Linked DNA regions of Astyanax mexicanus. The protein of the gene in region 1 purifies or fractionates together with the protein of each later gene. This does not show direct contact. Links are inferred from orthologs where the notes say so. Each region holds a gene or a part of one and is shown on either strand. Other genes may lie near its edges.

Region 1 (10,450 bases):
CCAGAAAAAAATCTATATATAATATATTTGGCTTGCAATGAGTTGTACTCCCAACCAAGGAGAACAACTGTTTTAAATAAATCTTAAGTACTGCTGCTTTAACTTAAAAATAAGTAAAGAAATAAAATAACTGAATGTTTATAGAAACTAGAAATTTGAATGTAAAATTATTTGAACAGATGGGAACATTTTCCAAACAGTTTGCAAACCAGAAATGAACCAAGAGTATACCAACTCATAGTCAAGTCCCATATAAATATACAATAAATACCTATTTTTATTTTATTTAAAGAATCATTCATTTTACAAATTGATGCCAATAGGTTTCAGGTTAAAGGCCTGCTAAGGTAGGCTAAATACTTTATTAGCATACTCATATGTGGCCAACATACAACATCTCTCCCTCATTGAAACAATGACTCACACAGATTTTTCCAGTGCACATATCTATATTATTTACATTGTCATTAATTAATTGTCTGGGAAATAAAAGAAACACAGGAAAAAAACAATACACAGACACTCTTGTAATTGAATATATTTGGTGGATTACAAAACTAAGTAAAAATATTTTCAAAAAGTTTCCTGACAAAGTCCAAGATCAGCTTAATCCCTTTCTGGGAAACTTTTCCTATACAAAATATTAGCAAGAGAACACCTTAATTGTTGGGAGCTCTGTTGTAATTATGCTCTTTAGCAGCTTAGGATAAATGATATTTAATGTTTTATAGTTATTGTGATATTGGTCTTTCCAATGCTGATCATGTGTCATGAGCATTCTGACCAGTTCTCAGATTCTCAGGTTTTTGATGAATCAAGGCATTAACCCGATACACCATTAGCCATGTTACATCAAGGGTCCATTAGTTCATCCCATCCAAGGCATAATCACAATTGCGATTTGGAATTTAATGCTAAAAAAACATGACAAACTTAACTTTTAATCTCAGTCATTAATTAACACACTTCTCTTTCCTTAAATAAAACAGAAAATACCAAAATTGAGTCCATAGATTTCCACAAACCTGTCGCACCACTGATGCATCCAGAATTCCTGTGGTGAGGTCACCAGTTTAGATAACAAGTTTGGGCAAATAGTCCACCTCCCATTGGTAGTCATGGCAGGACACAGTTCCAGAACTCATGGCACATGCACTGGCAAAGCCCGTACCCCATGATCACGAGCAGACTGACGGGCACCAGGCTGACCAGCAGCACGCCCGGCGTGGTCTTCTGCATGATGAGCAGGTAAACGCCTAGTGGTAGGGAGCTGAAGTAGAGAAGCCCAAGGAGCCACAGCAGGGCTCGGGCTGAGGTCTGACAAAGCAGGGCTGCGCAGTTCCACACTGTCCAGCGCCGGGTAACCGAGGCCATGGAGTCCAGACTGGATGAGTGATGATTCCTTCCAGCCCCGTTGGTACCCACCACCGGCTCCTGTGGAGGCTCCATGATGGTGATGACCACATAGTTGGAGCGTATGGACGAAGGTGAGGCTGATGCCGAGTGGCCCACTAGAGTGTTCAAGCATCTGGGGCTCAACAAGATCTCGCCCTGGTGGTTCTCCCGAAGGCTGGAATAAAAGCGGGTACGGATGGTTAATGCCGTCACAAGGTTGCAATCGTCCGGCAGACTTGCCACAGCCTCTCCAGGGAGTCCAGTAACATAGCGACAGAAAGGACAGACCACCCCATTCGGGGGTGAGTCTCCCAGATCAAGGATCTTGGTCAAACATTTGGCACACAAGCGATGGCAGCACTCAAGCACTTTAGGCCGTCGTCCAGACAGAGTGTAAGGGCAGTAGCAGATCTTGCACTCCAGTTCCTCGGCTCCAAAGCCTTCCAAAACCTCCTCTGGAAGCTGACCCATCATGCCTCTCTCCTCTCAGTGTTGTGGCAAGGGCTTGTTGTAGTAACAGACATGGTTGAGAGACTCTTGCTACACCACAGACAGGTTCCAGAGAGAGTGCCATGCAGGCTTGGGCAAACTGGAGCAGCGTCTGAGCGGCGCTGGACCCATTCGCACTGGACACTCTTTCCTGCACTCTGTGGAAGGGTGGGGAGAGGCTGCCAGAGAAAAGATAACTGTTAACACAGCACTAGAGAACAAACGCGACAGCAACAAAGCAGGCCCTGTAAAACCAGGGCTGGAATTTTCTAGCCAGACCTTTTGTTGCCAGTCAAATTCAGTCCAATTAGTGCCTCCATTCCTCTTTTCTGTGGTGCACTGTTAACACTGATAAGGGGTCTTTCTACTGTATCTTATGTGTTGTAATAATTTTTTTTATTTTAAAAGACTTAGATTAAGCATTAAAAAACACAGTTGTAGGTAATTTTATTTTTATTTTGAATAAAAAAGGTGGATCTGTAAACTTCACTGAAAACTGCTCTTAATACTCAGCCAGTTCATCAGCATTCACTGGCTGCACAGGAGAAAATGGGCTATGCTCTCTGCTTCTGTCTTCTGCTCTGATTTGTGAGGCTATTATTCATAATCTACCATGTGTGATAGTTCACAGTCCTAGTTGCAGGCAGGAAATGATTTCAAATGCACCATAAATCTTGACACCATTGAAACAAAACCTACAGAAATTGGTTTGCTGTACCTGTGTTTCATCCCTAAAGACATAAGCAGGGATTTTAGGGCCACGCATTACAATACTAATTGTATACACGCTCTAAATAAAAGATACAGTGTGTAAATTGATCATGAAGTATTACCTCATGGGATGGCTTGCTTATGACCACACCTATATAAGTTAGAGGGTGTTTTCTAGTTGTCTAGTTGCTAGATGGATGGAAAATTCCATTTTTGAAGTTGTGCCTACATTTAACATTTCTGGATCCACAGTGTCACATGTGGTTGAACCAGTAATTTGTCATAAAAGGCATTACCACCCACTGTGGACAGTGCAGTGGGTGGTAATGATTGTGTCTGGGTAGAACTGTCCATGTGAACAGAGAAGCGACTCCCAGACAGAATAGTGATTCCATCAATGATCAGAACCTTTACGGGGATGTACGCCAGAGGTGAGTGGAATGAATTTCAGTGTGGAATGACCAGCATTTCTAGAGGAATTAAGACAGATTTAACTGACTGATATAATCACCTCCGACTGACAAACAACTGGGCCAGTAATGCCTAAAACCATACCTAATGTTGGGTTCATAGAAGTAATAGAATATACACTGCCTGGTCAAAAAAGGGTCACACACTCTAATATTTGGTTGGACCACCTTTAGCTTTAGCTGAGTACAGCATGCATTCACGGTGGCATCATTTTTACAAGCTCACAGTTTATTTCTGTTCATAGTTGCATTAGTTCTGCGCCAAGATCTTCTACTGATGAAGTCTTACCAGACACATCCCAAAGATTCTCAATGTGGTTCAGGTCTGGACTTTTAGTGATTAATCCATTTGTAAAATTACGTCTCATTCTCCCTAATCCACTCTTTTACAACTGGCTACTTCCCTACTTTCTACAGACAGCAAGATCTGCAAGGTCTAGATGCTTCAAGACCTGGGCCGATGACAGGGTCTATGCCAAAGATTTTTGATTCAGATATTGTTTCTGATCAAACTGTAAAGATTTTTGCCCGTTATGTTGCATTCTTGCCTCTGGAGTCTTCTGGCAAAACTGACTGACAAGTGCTATTGTTACCAGATGGGTTCTGCTCAGAGATCTAACTTAGCTAGCTTACATCCATTTTTAATGTTCATTTGGCAGCTGTCAAGCCTTCTTCTGACTGTTTATGTTGTTGGTTTCTTCGATTGACATGTTTTGCTGGTCAGTTTCTGTCCACAGTGCTTCTTGTGGATGGATATTTTTGGATAGTGGATCACTCTCTTCAAACCAGCATTGCTGCTGTGCTGGATATCTACCAACACACCAACCACATCCATGTGAAAAAAGTGAAAAAGCCTTTTAGAAGAACTTGCATTTCACCTAATATTAGATGTGCTGTATGTATATCTATAATTCTATGTATGTAATGAAACCCCCTCCAGAATATGTTGTATATTCACTCAGACCAGAAATAGAACAGTTCAAAGAAGTTAGAAGGCCCAACAGTGACATGGCATTCTGGTCTATGATGAGAGTATGTGGGGCTAATGCTTTGTAATGTCAATCAGCTGTGGACAGGGTTACAGCTGTCAGATTAGCAACATCCACATTTCTCACTCCACTAAAGCACAGAACAACTATTAAAAAAAAAGAGAAATATATATCTAAATTAAAGTAAAGTATTATTATTATTATTATTATTATTATTATTATTATTATTATTATTATAGCAGCAGCAGTAGCAGCAGTATTGATAGTAGTGGTGGTAGAACTAGTTGCAGACATACTACTAGTGGTAGTAGTTCTAGTGGTAGTACTAGCAACAACAATAGTAGTATTAACAGTGGCAATACCAATAAAAGTAGCAGCAGCAGTAATACTAATATAAATAGAGGTGGCAGTAGTAGTAGTGACAGTAGTAGTATTAATATTAGTAATTAGTAAGTAGTATTAATAATAATAGTGGTAGTAGTAGTAGTAGTAGAATTATCAATAATAGTAGTGGTACTATTAGAAGTATTAATAGGAAAAGTAAAAGTTGTAGTAGCATTTGTAGTAGTTGTAGTGATAGTGGTAGCATTAGTTGTAATAGTAGTAGTGGTGGTAGTAGTTATATTACTAGTAGTAGTAGTAGTAGTGATAGCAGTAGTTTTAATAGTAGAAGTACTAATAGTAGTAGTAGTAGTAAGAGTAATAATATTAATAGTTGTATTGGTAGCAGTGGTATTAAAATAAATAGTAGTATTTATAGTAGTAGTTTTAATAGTAGTAGTAGTAGTAGTAGTGATAGTAGTTGTACTAGTAGTAGTAGTAGTAAGAGTAGTAATATTAATAGTAGTAATATTAATAGTATTGGTAGCAGTGGTATTAATAGAAGTAGTATTATTTATAGAAGTAGTTTTAATAGTAGTAAGAGTAGTAGTAGTAGTAATGACAGTAGTAGTACTAATAGTAGTAGTAGTAAGAGTAGTAATATTAATAGTAGTAATATTAATAGTTGTATTGGTAGCAGTGGTATTAATAGAAGTAGTATTATTTATAGTAGTAGTTTTAATAGTAGTAGTAGTAGTAGTAGTAGTAGTAGTAGTAATGATAGTAGTAGTACTAATAGTAGTAGTAGTAAGAGTAGTAATATTAAAAGTAGTAGTTTTAATAGTAGTAGTAGTAGTAGTAATGATAGTAGTAGTACTAATAGTAGCAGTAGTAAGAGTAGTAATATTAATAGTAGTCGTTTTAATAGTAGTAGTAATAGTAGTGATAGTAGTAGTACTAATAGTAGTAATAGTAAGAGTAGTAATATTAATAGTAGTAATATTAATAGTTGTATTGGGAGCAGTGGTATTAACAGAAGTAGTATTATTTATAGTTGTAGTTTTAATAGTAGTAGTAGTAGTAGTAGTAGTAGTAGTAATGATAGTAGTAGTACTAATAGTAGTAGTAGTAAGAGTAGTAATATTAATAGTAGTAGTTTTAATAGTAGTAGTAGTAGTAGTAGTGATAGTAGTAGTACTAGTAGTAGTAGTAAGAGTATTAATATTAATAGTAGTAATATTAATAGTTTTATTGGTAGCAGTGGTATTAATAGAAGTAATATTATTTATAGTAGTAGTTTTAATAGTAGTAGTAGTAGTAGTAGTAATGATAGTAGTAGTACTAATAGTAGTAGTAGTAAGAGTAGTAATATTAATAGTAGTAGTTTTAATAGTAGTAGTAGTAGTAGTAGTAGTGATAGTAGTAGTATTAATAGTAGTAGTAGTAAGAGTAGGAATATTAATAGTAGTAATATTAATAGTTGTATTGGTAGCAGTGGTATTAATATAAGTAGTAGTGTTTATACTAGTAGATGGTAGCAGTAGTGATAGTAGTAGTAGTATTAATATTAGTAGTCATAGAAGTAGTAGTAGTGAAAAAATAATTGTAGAATTTGTAGAAGTAGTTCCAGCAGTAGGATTAGTAGCATTAGCATTAGTACTATTAGTAAGTTCAAAATAATATAATAATATAAACACATGAATGCAATGGTATTGATATTATAGCTTAACACACTATAACATGTACTATGATTTTATTGTTGCTATTATTATCATTAACACTAATGATATTTCTCACTTTTTTCTCACTTTAATTTAATTACCAGAATAATGATCAGAAATGATAAACATGCAATACACATATTTATTATTTAGATTTATATGTCACGTGTTCTATTATTAATAAATCCAGCATTTTTAAATCTTTCTTTGAAGTCTTATTATAATAATGACGTGAGCGTTCCCATGGACCCTCGGCGGGTTGTCTCGGGATGACGTCGCCGTTCACAACAACAACAACACCAACATCACCAGCGGAGCAGCAGCAGCAGCAGCAGCGCCTCCTCCTCCTCCTCCTCCTCCTCCTCCTCCAGCAGCAGCGGCAGCAGCAGCAGCAGAGCCACCACCGGCCGGCGCTGTGGAGAGGGCGAGGCGGAGCGCGGAGCTTTCGCCATGGCAGGAGCGGCGCAGCCGGTGCAGGAGAGCGGGAGCCCGGGCGCAGCGCTGGCGGCTGCAGGGAGCGGGCAGCGGGCTGGAGGATGCCGCGTGCAGGAGCTGGTGGACTGGGGGAGACCCTTCAGGACCAGCGCGCTGTTCGCGGCCACCAACGCGCTGTTCTGGTGAGAGACATGACGCAGCGTTTTCATTTCACTTTTAATCTTGGTTTAATAGAGTGTAGACATGGACCACAGCCTGCAGAGACTCTCCACACACTGGAGTAGTGTTCTAGGTTAATTAACTAAGATAGATAATTAACTAGTTTGTGTAGTTTGTGTGTTAGTCAGAGTTATTTCAGTGTATTTAAGCTTAAAGCAGGTTTTCCCAGTAGCTTAGGATAAATAACTCAAAACAAACACAAATCTGCATCATATAATCATCATTCACTTCTCCTCCCATTTAAAAATTCTTGACATTTGAGTGAAATGATCTGGCCAGGCCAGAAATCCTGCTTGGTGAAATACCTCCCAGGTCATGCAGGCCTGTGTGTGTGTGTTTTTGTATTTGTGTGTGTTGATGTTTAAGGTGTTTAAGGAGCAGGCCTGTCTGCCTGCACTTCATTACTTTCCCTAGGTCATGTTTGCTTTTCATCACACCTGCTGTTACTTAAGGCTCGAACACCACCTGATGAGATTAGATAGGACATTTATAGCCCGCTGTTTTAGCAAGCTAGCAGAGCTGTGATAAAGCTACCCTCTGTTTGCTATCTCTACCTGTACATCCATACAATCTAGTATATACTATATACTGTATGATACATGCATGTTTTTCCCTCTCTCGCTTTTGTTTTCCAAGTAGGCACGACTTTGCAAAACACTGGATGTAGGTTAAGAAACTAAGTGTTCCCCCATTGGAATTATATAAATACCCTGCCCATGTTATTCCTTCTTGTAAGTAAGCTGTGTCCTGGATTTAAAATGCTGGAGATTATGCACCCACACCTCCTGCCGGGAGCCAACACTGCTAGGCGGGAGCAGCCAGGTGCACATGACGCATATCCTGCTTCTCCTACCAGCAACCTTCAAGAGGTTTATAGGTATACGACAGCTTGAAGTTGAACAGGGCATTGTGGAAAGAGGCAGCGCTGTGCTTCCCACTACGTTTAGGTTTACAGTACACATAGGAATCTGCTTTTCCATGTTAAGTTTAATGGAAAATACCAGAGATGTATAGAAACGAAGTTGAAGTACTTCATTACTGTAATTAAGTACTAAAATGCTGTATCTATATCTACTGGAGTAGTATTTTTTTCTCCTTATCGTTGATTTAAATATTTTTACTCTGATAAATTGTTTATGTGCTGCATCCTTACTTGTTATAATTGTAAAACTGGTACAAATCATTCCAAACCCACATTATCACTACCAGAGTAGTAGATGCTTTGCACTGTCACCAGGTTTGATGAAGCTCTTCATACTTTTTTTTGTTTATTTATTTTCTTTCCTTATTTACTCTCGATGTAGCTAGGCCAATTGTCCAACCCATTCAGCTGTTGCTCATCTGTTACTCAGCTGCTACTCAGCTCTACATCCCCCATCACAGGTGATGTCATAACACAAGGAGTGTGAAGACCAGCACATGCCTCCTCTGACATATGTGAAGTCAGCTATCGCCTCTTTTTGAGCTGCTGCTGATGCAGCATTGCCAAATAGCATCACAGCACGCTCTGAGGAAAGAGCAGCATCTCATTTCCGATACATCAGCTCACAGATGCCTTGTGCTGATCAACATCACCCTACGACTTATAAGGGGAAAGAGCGCTGTTTATCCACCCAGAGACAGCAAGGCAGACAGCACTGTGCTCTCTCAGGGCTTCGGCAGCTGATGGCTAGCTGCATGACCAGGATTCCAACCGGCGATGCCCCGATCATATTGGCAGTGCTTTAGACCACTCAGAGACAAAATTCTTCATCATTGAGTGAATCAAGCAATCAAGCTGATCTTATAGGGAAACCCTGCTGCTCACCTTCTTTCTTTTGCGCAGCACACACAATACTTAACACACAGTACTTTTACTTTTAGTACTTGAGAAGTACATTTTATAATACACTTCTTCATACAATACAGCAGTACCAAAAATGTTAAATACTTCCACTGTGTGGTACTTTAACTCAAGTCTGGATCTCTAACCAGTTTAAACTACTCTAACATTTGAACCATTTATACACTGGGACGTCAAAAGATAAAAGTCATGGGATAGCAGTGTGTGTGAAATTGAATTTGAAATGTAACCTTAGGGCATGGCTTGGAAACACTCATATAATAATAATAAGAAGAAGAATAAATAATTAATTCCTTATAAGTCTCACAGTGGGAAAGTTTTAACCTCTGCATTTTAACCCATCCATGCATCCAATTATTGGAGTTCGAGCTAGGCCTAATAATGGGTGCCAGATACAAGGCATTACCACCCACAGTGGACACTGAACATCTATACTCAGTGTGTGGTAATGATCATGATCATGGTGGCATCTGACTATAATTGCCCATTTAAAAAGACAAGCCACTCTGGCAGAAATCACATCCATGTTCAGTGCAGAAGGCTCCACAAGCATATTCCACCGACCAGTGCATCATCCTTTATCTTCCATTGGACATAATACGTATTCCTGTTCCATGACTTTTGGAATGTAATTACAGTTTAGATTAGATCCAGACCACCAGACCATCAGTAACTGATCTCATAACATCAGTCATCACTTAATGCAGTCAAATACTTACTGCAAGTGGAAAGGCTTTCTCAATAAGTATAGGTTGTAACTGCAAGAAAGGGAAGAGGATAAGGTAAAAAAATAAAAGGCTCACCATACGCTTTATGGAAGTCCAATTCTAAAATGTTGAGGGGTTTACATATTTACATGAATATTTCCCAATTTCTCTCTATCCTTTGAAACTAAACAGTTTGTGCGTTTAGGACAGATATAGATATCTGGGGAAAAAATAAGAGACCAATTAAAAATGAGTTTCTTTGATTTTACCAAATTAAAAACCTCTGTAATATAATCAAGAGGAAGATGGATGATCACAAGCCATCAAACCAAGCTGAACTGCTTGCATTGTGTAAGACTGGTGGAGGAGAATATGCCAAGATGCATGAAACTGTGATTAAAACCAGGGTTATTCCACCAGATATTGATTTCTGAACTCTTAAACCTTTATGAATATGAACTGGTTTTCATTGCATTATTTAGGTCTGAAAGCTCTGCATCTTTTTTGTTTATTTTACTCAAACATATACCTATAAATAGCAAAATCCAAAAAAACTGATTCAGAAACTTAAGTGGTCTCTTAATTTTTCAGGGCTGTATGTAGGAGAGCTTTGCTCTGATTGACTGCACTGTAGAATGGCTTAGAAGTCCAGAAAGAAACCCTTTATTGATAAAAAAAGGTATGACATCATATTTATATCTTTATTTTTCTCTCATATCCAGGTTTGTGTCCCTGAGTCCCTGTAGGGTGGTCTGTCTTCTCTGCCTGTGTCTGGCTCTCCTGATGATGGTACAGCTCCTGAGGGATATGATGCTTTCCAGGTCAAGAGGTGTGGATCCAATACAGCCTCCCACTTCATCAACACCAAAGACCATTTAATGCCCCTTTATTAAATTGGACACCTAAATGTTATTGAATCACATGGATTTATAAAGTTTTATGTAAAGCCATAGTGAACAGTTATCAGCATAATGCCAAAAAGCATATTTACTAAAGGGTTAATAGCGTATAATCCCCATAGTGGACAGCACACACACTCTGGCAGAAATCACATTTAATGTAGGAAACCCTACATGCATATGCTAGCATTCTGTAGCTTACATGGGATGTGATACAAAATGCAATCTGGGCTAAAACGCACCTTAACGCA
Region 2 (10,274 bases), on another chromosome or scaffold:
CCACACATGGAGCTATGAACGAGCTCAACATGTAGATACAGATGGATCAGATGAGTTTATTTATTGACTTATTTATTTTTATATTTTATAAATTGATTTATATTATCTCCTCCGTTACGTGTTGGAGAGGAGTTTATTAACACATGGAGCTATGAACGAGCTCAACATGTAGATACAGATGGATCAGATGAGTTTGGAGAGGAGTTTAAATACCAAAACATGAAGCTATGAATGAGCTCAACCTGTTGGCCAGAGACTTCATTCCCTGCTTTATGACCCCTCCTTCTGATGCACCAGGGGGCGCTGTAGATTGATGACTCTTATACTCCTCCATCTGCTGCCTCTCCACCTCTATTAGAGGCCACGGCTAGAAGAAGGGTACAGGGAGGAAGGGTACAGGGAGAAAGGGTACAGGGAGGAAGGGTACAGGGAGAAAGGGCGCTGTAGGTGGAGGAATTTTATACTCTATCTGCCGCCTTTCCTCCTCTATCTGCCTCCTTTCCTCCTCTATCTGCCGCCTCTCCTCCTCTATCTGCCTCCTTTCCTCCTCTATCTGCCGCCTCTCCTCCTCTATCTGCCTCCTTTCCTCCTCTATCTGCCGCCTCTCCTTTTCTTCTTGCCTCTCCTCCTCTATCTGCTGCGGCACCTCTATCCATGGCCTCTCCTTCTCTAGCTGCCTCTCCTCCTCTAGCTGCCTCTCCTTATCTAGCTGCCTCTCCTTCTCTAGCTCCTGCAGATCCTTCGCTATGAGCATCCATGGGTATATTAACGGTACAGGGCCAGGAGCAACGTACTCCTCTATCCACTGCTTCTCCTCCTCTATCTGCCTCTCCTCCTGTATCTGCTGCGGCACCTCTATCCACGGCCTCTCCTCCTCTATCTGCTGCGGCACCTCTATCCACGGCCTCTCCTCCTCTATCTGCCTCTCCTCCTCTATCTGCCTCTCCTCCTCTAGCTGCCTCTCCTTATCTAGCTGCCTCTCCTTCTCTAGCTCCTGCTGATCCTTCGCTATGAGCATCCATGGGTATATTAACGGTACAGGGCCAGGAGCAACGTACTCCTCTATCCACTGCCTCTCCTCCTCTATCTGCCTCTCCTCCTCTATCTGCTTCTCCTCCTCTATCTGCCTCTCCTCCTGTATCTGCTGCGGCACCTCTATCCACGGCCTCTCCTCCTCTATCTGCTGCGGCACCTCTATCCACGGCCTCTCCTCCTCTATCTGCCTCTCCTCCTCTATCTGCCTCTCCTCCTCTATCTGCCTCTCCTCCTCTATCTGCCTCTCCTCCTCTATCTGCCTCTCCTCCTCTATCTGCTGCGGCACCTCTATCCACGGCCTCTCCTCCTCTATCTGCCTCTCCTCCTCTATCTGCCTCTCCTCCTCTATCTGCCTCTCCTCCTCTATCTGCCTCTCCTCCTCTATCTGCTGCGGCACCTCTATCCACGGCCTCTCCTCCTCTAACTGCTTCAGCACCTCTATCCACGGCCTCTCCTCCTCTATCTGCCTCTCCTCCTCTATCTGCTGCTGCACCTCTATCCACGGCCTCTCCTCCTCTATCTGCTGCTGCACCTCTATCCACGGCCTCTCCTCCTCTATCTGCCTCTCCTCCTCTATCTGCCTCTCCTCCTCTATCTGCCTCTCCTCCTCTATCTGCTGCGGCACCTCTATCCACGGCCTCTCCTCCTCTAACTGCTTCAGCACCTCTATCCACGGCCTCTCCTCCTCTATCTGCCTCTCCTCCTCTATCTGCTGCTGCACCTCTATCCACGGCCTCTCCTCCTCTATCTGCTGCTGCACCTCTATCCACGGCCTCTCCTCCTCTATCTGCCTCTCCTCCTCTATCTGCCTCTCCTCCTCTATCTGCTGCAGCACCTCTATCCACGGCAAAATCTGCGTCTTCAGCATTTGCATCCTCTCCTCCTCCTCCGCCTCTATAAGCGGTAATTCCTCTTCCTTCTTCTTCCTGCGGAACTTTATCTTCGGGACGAGTTTTTTCAACCAGCGTTTAAAACCCATTGTGACAGTAAAGGATCTGCACTAAGCTCAGTGTGTATAGAACCGTAGTGGTGTCACCTCACGCTCGGGTCTATTTATACCTTTTGGGTTATGACATCATGCCCTCGCGCGATGACGTCACGCGCCCTTATTCGCGATTCTATTCACTGTCCGCGAAACAGTTCTCTGGACCAATCAGAGTTGCTGTCAGCGTTGCTAGGATACGGGGCAGGACTCCCTGCTAGGATACATGCGCGCGCATAACAACAACAAACAGAAGATTCCGCCTTCGCCCTAATGGAGTAGGCAGCAAGGAGCACCGGAGTCCAGCTATCCGCGCTTCGGAAATTCCCAGTCAAGTCATCCGCGCTTTAAATTTAGATGCGCGTATTCGCGCGATTTTACGGTAAACAGACGCGCAGGCGGAGAGCGCGCTAAAAAAACACAGAGAAGAGGAGACCGACACGTTTCAGTCGGTTATATTAATTCAGACATACATTAAGCCCAGAAACGAGAAGAAAACGGATTAAAATAACTCACCTCACTGTAGATTCTGTGCAGTACATTATCTATTTGATAGAATACCATAACAATCCCATCAGTGTTTAAGAGAGAGAGAGAGAGAGAGAGAGAGTTTTATATTAACATTACTTTTTTCAATCCATGCTTCAAAATAAATTGGGCAAATTTTACTGTTTTGTTTATTTTATATTATTGTTTTTTATTCATGCTTAAAATTCAATTTCTCATGATTTTCCCATAATGCCAAAACAGGTCCACTACCATTTGAAAGAGTCTGTCCTAGGCTATGACTCCTGCAAGTTTGGGCAAATTTCACTGTATTGTTTATACCTTCACTTTCAGATTCAGTGTTTCACTCCTGGTACAAAAATGTATACTCTCAATTAAAGACCTGTTTATTGATAAAGTTTTTGCCACAATCAAAAAACTGTCAGAAGTGTGAGGCGAATGTCATTGGTACCTTTATGCATATGTTCTTTGAATGTGAGCCAGTTTCAAAATTCTGGGACTTTGTTTTAGAAGTGGTGTCAATTTTAAGTGACAAAATGATTGTAAACCAACCTGGTTTATGTCTGTTAAATGATGGCTACTCTCTGGATCTTACTGTAAATCTAAATTTTGTATACGACCTTAACAGCTGCTAAAAAAACATCCTTAGAGTTTGGTTTGAGTCAACTACCTCTCTTAACAGGATCTGGCTTGCAGAATATAAACACATTATCTTATTGGAGCGCTCAACAGCAAGGATTAATAAAGCCAAGTCAAGAAAAATTAGAGGCTAATATCATAATATCATGATATTAAAAATCCATATTGTGATAATAGGGCTGTTCTGTCTTAAAAGTAGTCTATTATTCACTGTGAAGCTTTAGGTGTATTTATTGTATAATTGTTTTAGTTTGCAGTTTATATGCATGCACTAAATATTCTGCAATATTATTTGCTGCATTATATTATTTTATGCTATATTATTTATTTTGCCACATTATGATTATACTGTTATACTCTTATACTATATTCCTGAAATTAATTAATTATTTTTTTGTTTTCCTATATCGCCAATTATATCGTTATCCCAAAAATACCCTGAAATATCGTGATATTATTTTAGAGCCATACCGCCCACCCCTACATTGGACTACTGTATGTAATACTGATTTAATGTAAGCTCTGGAGACGGACTGTAGAAATGTATAGGTCTGTGATGGGTAATGGAAGCAGTTGATGTGTGGCCTTTGTAGGTTATTTTCTGGATTATCATCATTATTATTACTATTACTATTATTATTTTCTTTTTTTTTTAAATATGTATATATGTATATATAGGTTTTTCCTGTCCCCCCTCTTCATATGGAGTTCAGTGTAATGTATATCTATATACTAATATGTACTGACGTATAACCTATTAGTTTTGATGTGTGCTTTCCCTGGCAGTCCCTGGCTTTGTATATAGTATAAAAAATGAGATGAATGATGTATAATTTGACGATGAAAGTTAAAAATAAAAAATATTGTTCACAAAAAAAAATCTTGAGCTGATTATTTACTAGCGTTTCTAAAATTTTGGATAAACAAATTGTGTTTTCTAATCCGTTACTTGTTCATGCTGGAGTTATCGTTAATTTACAAGTAAAGTGGATTAACACGGCTAACGTGCATTACCCATTAGTTTAATAGGATGTAAAATGCAGTAAAGCCTGTATGAATTGTGTCTTGCGGCTGAAGGAAGAAGGACAATTGTGGCCAATGTAACTGAAACTCATTAAGATGGATTGCACAGGGTCCATTTAAAAGAGTAATTAACTGACTTCCAACAGTGTAAGATGTATTACCAGGAAGCAACAAATAAATAATCTACCAAAACATGAAATTTATAACTTTATGTGCTATGTTTATGTGGGAATAACACAGAACTTACATGTACCAGAACATTTAACAGGACTTTTACCAGATTTAAAAAAATCTGTGATGGTGTTGGTATTTAACACATATACACTATTGCATATTGTAAAAATACAATATTGTATACAAATGTAGTTTTATTAGATTTTTATTTTACATTTACGTTTATTTGTATTTTTATATATATATATATTTTATTGGGCAGTTTCATATTTTTGACACGGCTGCTTTTATTTTGTATCCTCCTGAAAAAAAAAAGCAGGACTGTGCTGCCACAGCTGGTTCATGCAGAGACTGGCTACTTCCGGTCATCTCCTTTATAGCAGAAAGCATCTACTAAAAAAACGCTAGAGGAAGCACGTGAGGGAGTCTTTAATGAATGAGGGTAAAAGGAGCTAAACGGCTAAATACTCAAATTAGAACTAGGAGAGAAAGTATGTGAACAGACTTTTACAAGCTTGCTTGGAAAAGTGCAAGTTCTACCAGGAAGGCAGAAGCTGGTGATTGATTAAGATACGAGTGACTAGCACAGGAGTTTTCGGCTAGAACTAACACTGAAGCTTACAGTACAACAAGTATACAGATTATCACGTTTCTAGCTAAAAATAACTGTTTCTTTTAGAGTAGTTTACATTTCTGACAAAAGTTTACAGACACTTTTGAATGGATTTCAATTGGGAAATGTCTGATGCCTCTCTGCTTACCGCTCTCTTAAAAAGGGGTGAAATTTTGTTAATGAATAAGTGTTAAGTCTCGGCTTGAAAAAGCATGCTAATAACGTAAAAAAAAAAGAAGTTTATAAACAGCTAAAAAACTGCAAAAGTAAATCTATCTGCTGCCTCTCCCCCTTGCTTTTCCAAGCCAATTTTTAAAGCTCAGATCTGATTGGCATAAATCTAGATTTGGCACGTTCACACAGCCATGAAAAAAATTTGATTGGAGTCACTTCAAACTGGTAATGTGAACGTATCTATCCATCCATCCATCCATCAATCCGAACCCATTCTGGAGTGGGAGTTCTCGGCTGTTCAGGCTCTTTGGCGCTGTTCCCTTTAAAACTCCGTGGCGTTCTGCGCATGTCTTTATCGCCTCTGGCTCGGAGTTGCTGACGAGGATCAGAACAATAATAAAAACAGAGAGGAATAAAACTACAGATTATTATTGTTATTTTATTCATCTTAAACTACAATTATGCCTTCTGATAGACCTTTCAAACAGCGGCGGAGCTTCGGTGAGTTTATATATAAGCGGGTAGAAGCTGTTTAATGTGTTTTAATGTTTATCAGACTGTGTTGTTTTGGTTAGTCTGATAATCTGAACAGTGAGAGATTTAACCGTTACGTTAATAAACATAAAGCCAATGATAGTTATAATGTTGTAACTAACGTTACTAAATAATATACATGGCTAGCCTATTAACGTCTCAAGTTTCAGCCGGTGTGTTTATATCTACTTTTAGTACTTACTTGTTTTATCTAAAATAGAGTCTCTACGGTTTAGTTTAGCTCATGTCCTATTATATAATATAACGTTACAGCTCTGGAAGCAATGAAGAGAGCACTTCAGTTTCTGAATCAGTTTCTCTGATTTTGCTATTTATAGCTTTATGTTTGAGTAAAATGAACATTGTTGTTTTATTCTATAAACTACAGACAACATTATTATCATTATTGTCATTTATAACATTTATTATGTATTGCAAAAAAAGGGAAATGGCAGTACAAATAATGCAAAGAAAACTAGTTCATATTCATAAAGCTTAATTCACAGTTTTAATTTCATGCATCTTGGAATCATGTTCTCCTCCTCCACCAGTCTTACACACTGCTTTTGGATAACTTTATACTGCTTTACTCCTGGTGCAAAAAAATATTCAAGCAGTTCAGTTTGGTGGTTTGATGGCTTGTGATCATCCATCTTTCTCTTGATTATATTCCAGAGGTTAATTTGGTAAAATCAAAGAAACTCATAATTTTTTAAGTGGTCTCTTGTTTTTTTTTTTTTTTTTTAGAGCTGTATTTGCAGAAGAAAAACTCTATGTATATTTTGGCCAGCCATAATTCTCCTTATTATGGGTCACGTTAAAGCACATTGCAGGGAAATAAATGTAATTTATTTAGGAATTTGGGAGAAATGTTGTCTGTAGTTTATAGAATAAAACAACAATGTTCATTTTACTCAAACATAAACCAATAAATAGCGATTTTTACAGAGCTGTATGTGCAAACATACCGATAATTTATCAATACTAAGGGAGATAGCGTTATAACAGTATGGTTAAAAAATCTAGAAAGACATTAAGCTATCCCCAGTACACAGAGGAGACGAAAATGTGCGTATTATAGAGTTATATTGTCCACTGTAGCATAAAAATAGAAGTTATTAAAGTTATTAAAACCTGGTGGCTAGAGGCCTTTTAGCTTAGCCAAGCTAACGTTAGCTTTTAACCTGACAAACTAGCTAACCTAGCTAGCAAGATAAGCCAAGTTTTGCTGTTTTAGCTAACTTAAAGTGAACAAACGTGTTGTCTGACTTAATTTAGTCTCATAAATGTCTTTATTTTTAGTATCTGGTCTTCAGTATCGTGCATTTTACGCGATGAATCCGCTGAGGCCCTTATTTACTTTACCTCAACACGTAGCTATAGCGTTAGCTTAGCATTAGCTTAGCATTAACTTGCCCAAAACGGCACTTTACTGTTTTTATTGAGCTGTAGGTTAAAGCTATATTAGAACTAACCTTTATATGTGTGTTTTAGGATAACTTAATTAGTTAACTACATGATAAATTATTATTTAAGCTTTTAGCGAACTAAATTGATCCTAAATACCTGATTTCTTAAGGGGGACCCAGTGCACTAAGTAGGTTAGCTAGATAAAAATATAACCTATGTTAGGTTAGGTGCTTAAACTTAATCCTAAAAAGTCTATTTAAATGATTTCATTACTTTTTAGAGCACTATATAGAGAGTAAACCCCTCTATTTCATGCCTTGTATATTTCTTTACATTAATAATTAATCCTAACCCTAAATAGGGCTCTACATTTAGAGTAAATACTTCTATTTTAAGGCCAATGTAGAGCTCTTTAAACAGAATAAATACCTCTAATTTATCCCTATATATTTCTTTACGTTATGAATTAATCTCTCTATTTCTTGCTCAATATAGAACACTATATACAGAATAAACTTCTCATGCCTTATATATTTCTTTACATTAGGAGTAAATTCCTCTATTTCATGTCCTATGTTGAGCGCTATATATTGAGTACATATTTAAATTGTATGTCCTAAATAGTGCTCAACATTAAGAGTAAATACCTCTGTTTTATGCCCTATGTAGGGCACTATATACAAAGTAAACACCTCTATTTATATGTCTTTACATTTAGAGTAAATACCTCCATTTCATGCCCAAATGTGGGGCACTATATACAGAGTAAACACCTCTATTTCATGCCATATATATATTTCTTTACATTAAGAAGTAGTCCCTTTATTTAATGTCCTATGTTGAGCACTATAGAGAGAGAAAATCCCACAAAATTCACATCTTATAGCTCTACAATGAGTAAATTTGTCTATTTTATGCCCTGTATTCCTAAATCTCTGTTTTATGACCTATGGAGTGCACTATATATGGAGAAGAAAACAAATTTCAGTGACCCATGTAGTGCACTATATTCTACATAGCTTTTCCAGGTGCTGTTAATTGTAAATATTGCTGTTAGTTATCTGAGCTGTTTCTGTGTTTTAGTTAAACTAACAAACTGAGCTACTCAAAATGACCCCAGACACTGAACTAACCAACTCAAAAACAGCATTTAAATTGATAAAATTCGGTACCACGAGGATGTTTTTGTTTATTGTCATAATTATAAGCATTTATGGAAGTGCAAATGTTAGGATTATTATGGTTTGCTGTGCCTGTTAAGCAATAAACATCAACACAAGATCAAATTACAGCTTCAGCACAGGGTGAACGGGTGTAACCCTTCCCCCCATGTTGTACCTCGTGCTGATTGTGACGATATGATTTTAAATAGTCTCTTAAGTGGTTGCCTGCTCATTCATTATTTCTTCCAAAATCTAAGATATTGAAAAGAAAAAGAGTTCATATAGTGTAATAAACTATGTACTATTCGATAAGAGAAATTTAATAGTGAAGTGATCTATCAGACTATGAAGGAACACTTAAGGAATCATGTTGTAACTTAAAAACAGTGTTAAACAAACTAAAATACTCTGTGAAGCATTAAGGTGCTCTTATCTGATAAACCTATCCTGTACAACTCTTCCTTTCCTGGGGCGGTCCTGATGAGTGCCAGTTTCATCATTGTACTGGTTTTTAAGGTCTTTTTCGATGTCTAGAGATTCTGTGTAAATCATTTGATGAATTGTTTTCTCTTGATTTTTAAGCTATTTTATTTTTATTCTCAGCTGATCGCTGTAAGGAGGTGCAGCAGATACGAGAGCAGCATCCTAATAAAATTCCGGTAAGAACTGTTAGGAATTTTAGAAATACATTTAAAAGTTAATGAATTAACCTTGAATAATATGATAATGTTTATTAAATACAGCTGGAACTGTGTTTTTGCCTGTAGGTCATCATTGAGAGATATAAGGGAGAAAAGCAGCTTCCCGTTTTGGACAAGACCAAGTTTCTTGTACCTGATCACGTCAACATGAGCGAACTGGTGAAGATTATCAGGTGAGAGTTCAGTTTGTTGAGGTGTGTTCAGGTACGTTTCTGGGGTTTTGCTTGTTTATATTGGTAACAGAAAACACAGGAGCTCCACTGACTGAATACAACCTAGACAGATGGCAACAGTCAGACGTTCATCGCTATCTCGGTAACACAGGCGCTGTGCCGAGCCGAGTGTACGCCCCCACTTATTACACACACATGAACACACAGCAGCACAAACCCAACTTTTACATCAACAATAAACAGAATAGTAAATGAAATAACATTGCTGTTCCCGTAAATGAGCTGCTGGAGCTCCTTCACAGCGTCAACCAGCAGCTCAGTTTCCTCTGCTGAGAAGAGTTTGTTAAACACGTCCAGGTAGCTGCACCGTTACAATAGCAATCCACCAAAGACAGAGCTCACCTGGTTCTACTCTTAAAGAGAATGATGAACAAGAGACACTCTGATTTTGGTTTAAGCTATTACTCAGGCTTCCACTATGATCATGAGATGACTGGTTTGAATCCAGGTCATGCAGCTTGCTATCAGCTGTGTAAATTGGGGATAAATATCCTGCAGTAAAGTACACTAGCTGATGTAAAGTGAAGTGTTTGTGTGTCTGTTTGCAGCAGTCTCACGTGGTCTCACGCTTGCTCAGGCTGGTTTGTTTACTGTGTTGACTGCTCCTGAGTGTTCTGGGGGAGGGTTAAGGGGTTAGTGGGGGTAGGTATAGCATGTGCCAGAGATTTAGAGCTCTTGCTGACCCTGCCGTCCTCCGGGACAGACTGCAGCTCACGCTTTTAAACTTTCCAGCTCTAAAATTAGCTTTGTTATCGTTGGAGGCCGTTCACTTCCCATCCTGTAGCTCCTGAAAGAACAACACTAGTGTAGAAGAGCTCTGAACACTGTTTTCTGAAAAATGGATTAGCATGCTTTAGCCAAGCTCTTAGAATATTTCACCATCCACTGGATCAAATGGCCTCGATATCCAACATTTGTGAGTGGCTATTGAGTGTAGGCTGTTTCCCAATCACAGCTCAACAGTTTATTATTATTCCAATTAACCCCTTACATATTACATACAGCTTTGTAAAACATGAAAAGAGCACTTCAGTTTCTGAATGAGTTTCTCTGATTTTGCTATTTTATAGGTTTATGTTTTAGTAA

The links. The genes of interacting proteins can lie anywhere in the genome.
Region 2: the proteins of retreg1 (region 1) and map1lc3a purify together in Homo sapiens (affinity purification with western blotting; 3 studies listed by BioGRID and IntAct, with this or other methods). This does not show direct contact. The link is inferred for Astyanax mexicanus from reciprocal best matches to the Homo sapiens genes RETREG1 and MAP1LC3A.

The regions. Positions count from the first base shown.
Region 1 is NC_064415.1:42,223,386-42,233,835, reverse strand, and holds the start of retreg1 (reticulophagy regulator 1), read left to right. Parts: upstream 1-6,376; 5' UTR 6,377-6,546; coding exon 6,547-6,713; intron 6,714-10,022; coding exon 10,023-10,129; intron 10,130-10,450. Other genes in the region: E3 ubiquitin-protein ligase RNF182, read right to left, coding at 1,117-1,869. UniProt on the Homo sapiens protein: Endoplasmic reticulum (ER)-anchored autophagy regulator which mediates ER delivery into lysosomes through sequestration into autophagosomes.
Region 2 is NC_064431.1:33,918,018-33,928,291, reverse strand, and holds the start of map1lc3a (microtubule-associated proteins 1A/1B light chain 3A), read left to right. Parts: upstream 1-5,481; 5' UTR 5,482-5,608; coding exon 5,609-5,648; intron 5,649-8,857; coding exon 8,858-8,913; intron 8,914-9,021; coding exon 9,022-9,128; intron 9,129-10,274. Other genes in the region: trichohyalin-like, read right to left, coding at 368-796, 893-1,192, 1,433-1,528, 1,568-1,756, 1,796-2,014. UniProt on the Homo sapiens protein: Ubiquitin-like modifier involved in formation of autophagosomal vacuoles (autophagosomes). While LC3s are involved in elongation of the phagophore membrane, the GABARAP/GATE-16 subfamily is essential for a later stage in autophagosome maturation.